Linked DNA regions of Oryzias latipes. The protein of the gene in region 2 purifies or fractionates together with the protein of the main gene of each other region. This does not show direct contact. Links are inferred from orthologs where the notes say so. Each region holds a gene or a part of one and is shown on either strand. Other genes may lie near its edges.

Evidence for each region.
Region 1: the proteins of bet1 (region 2) and gosr2 purify together in Homo sapiens (affinity purification with mass spectrometry; 3 studies listed by BioGRID and IntAct, with this or other methods). This does not show direct contact. The link is inferred for Oryzias latipes from reciprocal best matches to the Homo sapiens genes BET1 and GOSR2.

The regions. Positions count from the first base shown.
Region 1 is NC_019866.2:6,916,445-6,920,859, forward strand, and holds the start of gosr2 (Golgi SNAP receptor complex member 2), read left to right. Parts: upstream 1-1,373; 5' UTR 1,374-1,516; coding exon 1,517-1,545; intron 1,546-1,761; coding exon 1,762-1,826; intron 1,827-2,339; coding exon 2,340-2,448; intron 2,449-3,498; coding exon 3,499-3,631; intron 3,632-3,801; coding exon 3,802-3,942; intron 3,943-4,281; coding exon 4,282-4,415. UniProt on the Homo sapiens protein: Involved in transport of proteins from the cis/medial-Golgi to the trans-Golgi network.
Region 2 is NC_019869.2:10,286,678-10,291,005, forward strand, and holds bet1 (BET1 homolog), read right to left. Parts: upstream 2,690-4,328; 5' UTR 2,548-2,689; coding exon 2,529-2,547; intron 2,347-2,528; coding exon 2,240-2,346; intron 2,103-2,239; coding exon 2,046-2,102; intron 1,664-2,045; coding exon 1,508-1,663; 3' UTR 605-1,507; downstream 1-604. Other genes in the region: probable acyl-CoA dehydrogenase 6, read left to right, coding at 392-482. UniProt on the Homo sapiens protein: Required for vesicular transport from the ER to the Golgi complex. Functions as a SNARE involved in the docking process of ER-derived vesicles with the cis-Golgi membrane.

The DNA.
Region 1 (4,415 bases), on a different chromosome or scaffold from region 2:
GACCCAAATTCACCTTGTGTACATCTCCGAAAAGATCTGGCAGGGGGTTTCATCCTCTATATGCTTTTTCAGTTTTTTTAACCTGCAGGTTTAAAGCTGTGCACATCCAGTCGCTGCCCTAAAGTTATGTTATGACAACCAAGAACGTTGAGCAGCAAGAGCAAGAAGTGGCTTGAACAGATCTCAGGGTTTCTGACATGTGGGGGGTAGAAAAAAGGACCACTGTTGAGGTGTCTAGCCTGAAGATACAACCATCAGCTTGTGTACCATTAGGCTGCCATGGGAGACTGTCTGGGTCGGTGTCTGATTGTTGAATGAGGAAAACAAACAAACAGGAGCTTTTAATATGTTTTGCAGATAATTCTATCAAAGGATGCTTCCATGAACTTTACTTACCCTGCATTTATTCAAAAGTTACACCCTTGAAAATCAGCAGACACCATAGTGATGGAGATCTGGCCTGAGTTGATTGAGATGTGGCTTTGATAAAGTGCCAGCAGCGCCCAAGGAAGATTTTACTTGCATTAAATCACCAAGGAAGTTTGGTCATATTTTTCTCAACATGTTCTGGGAAATCCAACCATGCTATTTTCACACAGTACTCTGTGTCAGAGCCAACCTGTAAGTGATAAGCTCACAAATCTCTTTTCTCTTCACACTGACATCCTCTCCAAAGGGATCCACCACTTCATCTTGCAAATAAAACGTTTGATTTTCTTAACTTTAGAGTCTTTGATTGCAGGTTAAAAGGAAAATTCTGGATGGAAAAACAAAAATATTCTTACATCCTCCCATTAAAGAAAAAAAAACACTTAGATCCAGTCAGTGAGAGCTGACGAAAGGTAGCCTCAGGACACACATGTCAGTCTTTCCTGTCACATGTCTACATGTCAACAGATTATGCTCCTGCTCTTAAAGCTTGTGGGTCAAAAGGGTTTGTCAGCTACTGCTTTTCAGAGGTGCAATGACAAATGTTGCCCACAACTTACTTTTTGAATTGGTGTATCATCAAAAACAAAATGACTTATTATCTAGAGCTAGAGTCCAAAAATAAAATTAAACATCAAAGTTTTCAACTTAAAAAACGATTGAATGTTATTTGATGAGTAATTTATTTTCCAATTCTTTATTTTTTTTAACCATTAAATACTTATAATAAACATTAAACAAAGATAATATAGAAACTAATTTGTTGCAACACAGATAATGTGCACTTTTTATGCTATTTACCATAAATAACAGCTTTACCGCTTTAAATTTGATTATTAAAAAAAGAAAACATAAATGTCAAAGAGAATACTCTGTGTAGTTTTTTTGAAACAGAGTGAGCACTCCTGTTACTATGGAGCTGCTCAGCTTCCGCTTTCTCACTTCCGTACACAAATACTTGGCTGATGACGTGTACACTGCCCTACCGTTAGTAAGCTAGCTTAGCCGGCTGTCAGAATAAGGGTCGCTAGAAAGAAAATAAAAAAGGTAGCGATACAAGAAAAAGGGTCTTCGTCACACATGTAAAATGGAGACGCTTTACCACCAAACAAATAAGTGAGTAAAATGTATTTCCGTAGAAATATTGCAGACCTGTTTAGCTAACTTTAGCTCACAATTTTAAGGCTAACATGTTTCCCCAAATAAAACAATTTAATATAACCAATACGTATTCTTTTCTTTTTTTTTAATCAGTAAACGTATTTTTAAAATAAAGGACAAATATTGAGCTAGTTGCTTTTTATTAACCTGTTTTGTTTTTGGCTGGATTAGGCAAATCCAGGAGGTTCAGTGTCTGATGGGAAACCTGGAGAAGACAGACCGTCAGTCAGTTCACTGTAAGTTCTTCTGAATGGATCATTTGACCGTTCTTAACATCTGTCATCCTTCTTTTCGGTGTGTGTTTGCTTGTGGTGTTTATTTCTGTCCGGGGGGGGGGGGGGGGGGGTTGTCATTGTTTTGGCTGATTGCTAATGTTTTGAACACACAAACAGGACAGCGGGGGGTTGAATTGCTCCTGCCTGGTCGTTGTCTGTGGATGGTGGTGCCTACCCCATCAGCCCAGGGCGAGGCTGGTCCCGGTCTCACTGGCACAGGAAGTCGTTGGGTGGGAGCAATGACAGAAGCTGAGAGGGCATGGCTTTTAGATAATGTTAGGAGCCAGGCAACCTTTGTTCCTTCCACATATGATGACATCACTTTGTTGTTTCTCCCAAGAAGGACATAGGTCCATTGTGGAGGGTCATTTTGTTACTAGCTGCTGATCTGGGAGGGGAAACTTGGGATAAATGTCATTTTTTTTCACAATTATTGGGGGATTTAAAAGTTTTCTTCTGTTTCTCAATTTTAAGTGCTAGAGAATGAACTCCAGATCCGGACTGACCAGATCCTCAATCAGCTTGAGCGACTTGAGATCCTGGTCAGCAAGGAACCACCGAATCGCCGCCAGAACGCCAAATTGTAAGTTTAGAGTCACTGTGGTCATAAAGCTCCAAAAGTGACAGGGGTGTAGAAGACCAGACAGGCAGCCCGTCCTGCCCCGAGGCGTCGAGTCTCTATAAAAACATTTCCTCAGAAGCCCCGTCATCACCAGCATTCCTGCTGCATCGAGCAGATTCATCTTTGAGCTGGGTAAACAGGCCTCGGGGGACACAGTTTATCCCATCCCAGAGCTTTCCTGTGATCCCAGCAAGTGCCTTGGACCTGGGAGGGACTCTTCATTTCAACTGCGTGAGATTGGAAGTCAGCAAAAATGTTATTATCCAAAGAATCACGAAAGCTACAGTCAAACTTTGCGACAAACTAGTGATAAACAAATTGAAACAAATCAAAAGCTGATGTAAAATGTTTTTATTCCACTTCTAATATTTCTGAGCGGGTGGGATGAACACGAAGACCTCATTGCACCGTGTTTAAAGATCCACTCTGATCATCTTTTGTAAAAGCGTTCCCTATGGTCTTTATAATTATGTTTATGCTGTTTTTAGCCAAAAATAACAAAAAAAAACTGTGTTTTCTGGGACATAGTTTCTGCAAGCGGCAGAAGAAAAGTTGCCTCTGAATTGTGTGGGTGGGATCATTGGCGTGGTGTAACCCCGCCCCCCCTTCCTCTTCTTGTTGCTGAGAGCTCGGAGGAGGGAGCTTGTGCGTATTTTCTATGTAACGAAGAAGCTCTTTTTCATTTTTTCGTCTGCTCCTGATTCCCAACAATTTGAATAAAGAAACATTTCTTTGAGTCTAATCTTGTTTTAATATCATCAGAAAAACACTACAAGAAACATGTTAGAAACTCTTTAAGTGAAGAAATTAGTAATCACAAATGTAAAAATATTTTTAAAAGGTCATGAAAATTTTCAATTTACCCTACAAATATGGCATTTCTCTCAGCTACAACCAGCTAGAAAGAAATTAGTTTCCTTCAGCTGAGCGGATAAGGTAAAGATAAAACCCCCCGTACACACACCAGTCGTTTGATTAAAAAAAAAATAATAATTTTCTGCTGTCTCTCAGACGAGTCGACCAGCTGAAGTACGATGTGCAGCACCTACGGACCGCCCTACAAAACTTCCAACATCGACGCTATACCAGAGAGGCGCAGGAAAGAGAGAGGGAGGAACTGCTGAGCCGCACTTTCACCACAAACGTAAGTTATAAGATCCTGAAAAAAAGGCTGAAATACAAACTCAGATTCTTTGAAGTGTCCAACAAAATCGGCAAACATCTGTAAAGTTGTTTATTCAGGATATTGATGCTGGAAACAAAGTAATCCATGAAAATGTCAGTATTAAGCTAAACAGTTGTTTTGATTAACAGGATGCAGATACATCCATCCCCATTGACGAGACTCTGCAGTTTAACAGCAGTTTGCACAACGCACACAGAGGAATGGATGACCTGCTGGGCAGCGGCAGTGGCATACTCAACGGCCTCAGAGATCAGAGATCTACACTCAAGGTTTGTGTGAAGGAGCCCTAACCTACCAAACTATAAAAAAAAAAAATGCCTGCGAGCGCTGCAGAAAGGAGCCCGCATGGTTGTTTGATCAAAATTCCTTATTGTTACTGAGCATATTCCCAGCCACAGAGTGACTCCGTGTTTCCAGGGAGGAGATGGGCTTCCTGGTTTGGCTTCAGACGTCCTCTTATCAGGGTGTGACTGATCACCACCCATAGCCTTGAACCTCAACCATGAGAAACTGGCCGTGCCCGGAATGTGTTGGCACTCGCAAAACCAATAACCATAGAAAATGACGTTTTATTCCTTTTTTTTTTTTGTGGTTCTGGTTCTTCACAGGGAACCCATAAGAAGATGCTGGATGTGGCCAACATGCTGGGGCTTTCGAACACTGTGATGAGGTTCATAGAGCGGAGGGCCACACAAGATAAGCTCATCATGATTGGAGGCATGCTGCTGACCTGCGTCTTCAT
Region 2 (4,328 bases):
GTCTGCTTTAACCCTTGTGCTATCTTAGATGACCCCACCCTTACTTTGACGTGTTCTCCCTACCACGACAAAGGTGGAAAGATTTCATTTAATCCATGGACACCAGTGAAGATCACAAATCATTGAAGAAAAAAGGTTCAGAGCACTGTCTAGTGGGTCTAGATGACCCAACTCCCAATATTAAAGTGCCTAGAATAGCACAAGGGTTACTAGTTAATTACCAAATAAATGTTCATTTTTTTTACTGCAAGTCTTAAGATTTGCGGTTTAATTTAAAGTTTGACAGACTAGAGACTTGAAGTTGAACTTTCATGCAAAGACTGGACTTATGAGCACCTGAGTGACAGTTAATTACAGAAGTGTGTTGTTGCTTTTTTTCTCTCTCCTCCAGGGATTCCAGGTTATTGTCCATCGGCGCCGGGGCTGATGAGGTGATGCTGGGAATAATCTGCAAGTTCATGGACACTTTACCCCGGAAGTGATGTCATTTGCAGCAGATTCCTGCTCAGACGATGATAATTAATACAAGAGTGCAATTTTAAACCATCCTGACCTGTTCAGATATTTGTAAAAAAAAAATTAGTTTGGAAATCTCTTGTAATTGTTTGCTTCTTTTATTGATGAAGTTATGTTAAACGCTTTGAACACATCCAGCATGGAAACACAAACGATGCCATAAAATCTGTTTTTATTTACATTTTTACTCAAGAATGAAGGTCTCTGTGGTGATTTACAATGTCAGGTGATGTAATACAGACGTGTCCCTTATGTGCTGCACTGTGTGTGTCCACATTTATGGGACTGAACAGTTGAAATAAGATTGACATAATTTTGTATAACAAATGTTTATGCTCATAGTTTGTAAATCAGTGGCAGAAGAATTAAAATAGCAAAAAACAATGTTGAAATTGTGTTTTATTATGGAAACTTTGCTCTGGCAGCATTTAAGACTGAATTGTTTAGTTGTGATTTTAGGTTTTTAGGACTATCGGCAGCCTTTAATTCATTTGGCTGTCCAAAACTCATCAACATGAGTTGTAATTACCGTACTTGTGTTCAAACCTGTCCATATCAACTCCCTCCTTGACATAAGTACACCAAATTGTGTTTAATTATTCCACAGCTCAAACCACCTTAACCTCATTTACAAAAAATAACTCATCAGCAGCTGTTGTATCTTGGACTGTGGATCCTGTTTGTTTAATCATAACTGAGCTGTAGCTGTGCAACACAAATACTAATGTGTTAGGTATACAAATGGTATACAAGGTGCTTTCCTGGGTCATTTGCCTTGTTAAAGATGAACACTTTCAAAGTTTATTTCTTGTCTATTTTCTATTTCAAGCCCTTTCATGGCTCATTTAGGGGACATCAGGAAACAAAATGATGCTCGAAAGAAAAAAATCCCCACCTAACCAATTGAACAAGTGTTTTTTTAGGTCAGAGCTGCTAGTGAATGGGAATGAAGACGTGGAGCTAAGGGGCAAAGTCCAACAAGATGCTCTTATCACCTCAGCTTGATGAACCAGTAGAGGACAAAGAAGACAAAAAGGCAGAAGAGCAGCATGTAGCAGAGCAGTTTGGTCTGGCTCCCTCTGGACAGCTGCTTTACTCTGCCAATGGTGGCTCCCAACAGTCCGCCTGTAGAATCAAAGTCCGAGTCCTGTGAAGAGATGAGGGGGGGATCAGGAACCGCTTCAAATCCAAGAAAATGTTTACTAAGTCGGTACTATTAAAATCCCACTCTTTGAGCTATTGTCCCTCTGTCTTTTAATTATGATTCTGCTGTTTTTAGCCAGAATCAATTTTCTACAGCAAAAATAAACTCTTTTTCAAGCTTGATTTATTTTTTGTCTGCTCCCGATTTAAAACAATTTGAATAAAGAAATACTCAGAAACACAAGTTTAATCTTTGTTTCTTTTTATGCCATACATCATGAGAAAGCTGCTACAAGAACATGTTAAAACCATTTTTCATAGGAGTGAGGACTTTAGAGTAACTGTAAAGGTACTTCTTTGCCATTTAAATACAAAGAGAAACCCACCATATCTTCCAACATCTTATTCTGGTATTTAACCTCTGTTCCAATATCAATAGTCAGCTGGGAATGACAAGAGACAGGAATTGATTGTTAGATAAGTAAAACTTGTAAAATAGCTTTTAAAACTAGAAATTGGTAACAGAAACAAGTGAATAGTGACAGACGAAGGCACAGTTTTGTGTCGCAGCTGGTCTTACACTTTTCAAGGCGCTGACTTTAGCTCTCAGTCCCTCCTGTAAATGATCATTTTCCTCCTCATAAACACTGTAGCCACTCGCCACATAATTCCCGGAGCCTCCTTCACCTACACAAGACAACAAAAAACAATATTAAATGCTGAGAATAAAGCCAAGAGCCTTATTAAAAATGTAACTACGCCTCAGAGTGTTGCATCCATCCACCAGTGAAAACAACATTAGCTAATGCTAGCTACCATGTTAGCTGGCTAGCGATCTGAAACTTCCCAGTTTTAGACTCGTTTCTTACCCAAACCAGCGCGTCTCATCCTTACTCACTGAAGCCGAAAATGTCCACAGTATATTCCGAAGAATTAAACAATGAAAAGTTTAAAAATAATCAGAGGTCTAGTCTCTACACATAGGGAAACGCCACGACATCATACGGTGGCCGAGAAGGACAAATCCTATGTAATAATGTAAAAGCTAAAAAAAATCCACAAAAAAAAATCAAGTAAATGATTCCTAAAATAGTGTACGTTTATCCCTTTGGGTACTAAATACCCAAATATTATTCCACATTTTGAAAAGGTATATTGAATAATATAATCTTTTGACAAATTAATATTATTATTTTTATTGTTTTTGTAGTTTCTAAAATTACATTGTTACTGAATAAATAATCCAGATTTTTGCTATTGTGTTTCTTTCTTCTTTTAATTCTAAATTACGAGACCCAATCATCGCACATGAAACAGGATTTAAGTATTATGTCACTCTTAAAACACCATGTTTGTAGCTGCAATTCTGCTGTTGCTATTTCTTTAATACTTTTCTTTATTTGCATTGTCTGTTTTCTAATCAGAATAAAGTCACTGTGCCTTCAGAAAGAAAATGTTGTTCTTTTTCTCATCTTTTATTTGAAAATTGTTCAAGAGAATCACCATTTAAAACCCCACTCAGATGAAGATTGTGTTTTTAGTGTTTTAACATGTTCTTGTGGCATTTGTTGGAAGATGGCGAACATTAATTAAGATATTTAGGCTTCAAATTGGGTTTCTGAGTGTTTCTTTATTCCAATTGTTGTTAATCAGGAGCAGACAAAAATACTGGCACCTACCTCCCTGCTGAGTTCTGATGGATCCACTTGTTGTCGACTGGATTCATGTATGTCTTTGTTTTACTTGTCTGATCTGGCATCTGGATCAAAACTGGACAACTGGATAGCTCCAGTATTGCTCGCCATTTTTGTTGCCCAGTGGGACATGCAAGGAACACCTCCCAAGGGAGGTGACCATTGCATCTGGACCAGATGCTTGAGCCACATCAACTGGCTCCTCACAATGTGGAGGAGCAGCGGTTCTACTCCGAGCTCTCTGCAGGTGACCGAGCTCCTCACCCTATCTTTAACCCTTGTGCTATCTTAGATAGATAGATAGATAGATAGATAGATAGATAGATAGATAGATAGATAGATAGATAGATAGATAGATAGATAGATAGATAGATAGATAGATAGATAAGATAGATAGATAGATAGATAGATAGATAGATAGATAGATAGATAGATAGATAGATAGATAGATAGATAGATAGATAGATAGATAGATAGATAGATAGATAGATAGATAGATAGATAGATAGATAGATAGATAGAATAGATAGATAGATAGATAGATAGATAGATAGATAGATAGATAGATAGATAGATAGATAGATAGATAGATAGATAGATAGATAGATAGATAGATAGATAGATAGATAGATAGATAGATAGATAGATAGATAGATAGATAGATAGATAGATAGATAGATAGATAGATAGATAGATAGATAGATAGATAGATAGATAGATAGATAGATAGATAGATAGATAGATAGATAGATAGATAGATAGATAGATAGATAGATAGATAGATAGATAGATAGATAGATAGATAGATAGATAGATAGATAGATAGATAGATAGATAGATAGATAGATAGATTAGATAGATAGATAGATAGATAGATAGATAGATAGATAGATAGATAGATAGATAGATAGATAGATAGATAGATAGATAGATAGATAGATAGATAGATAGATAGATAGATAGATAGATAGATAG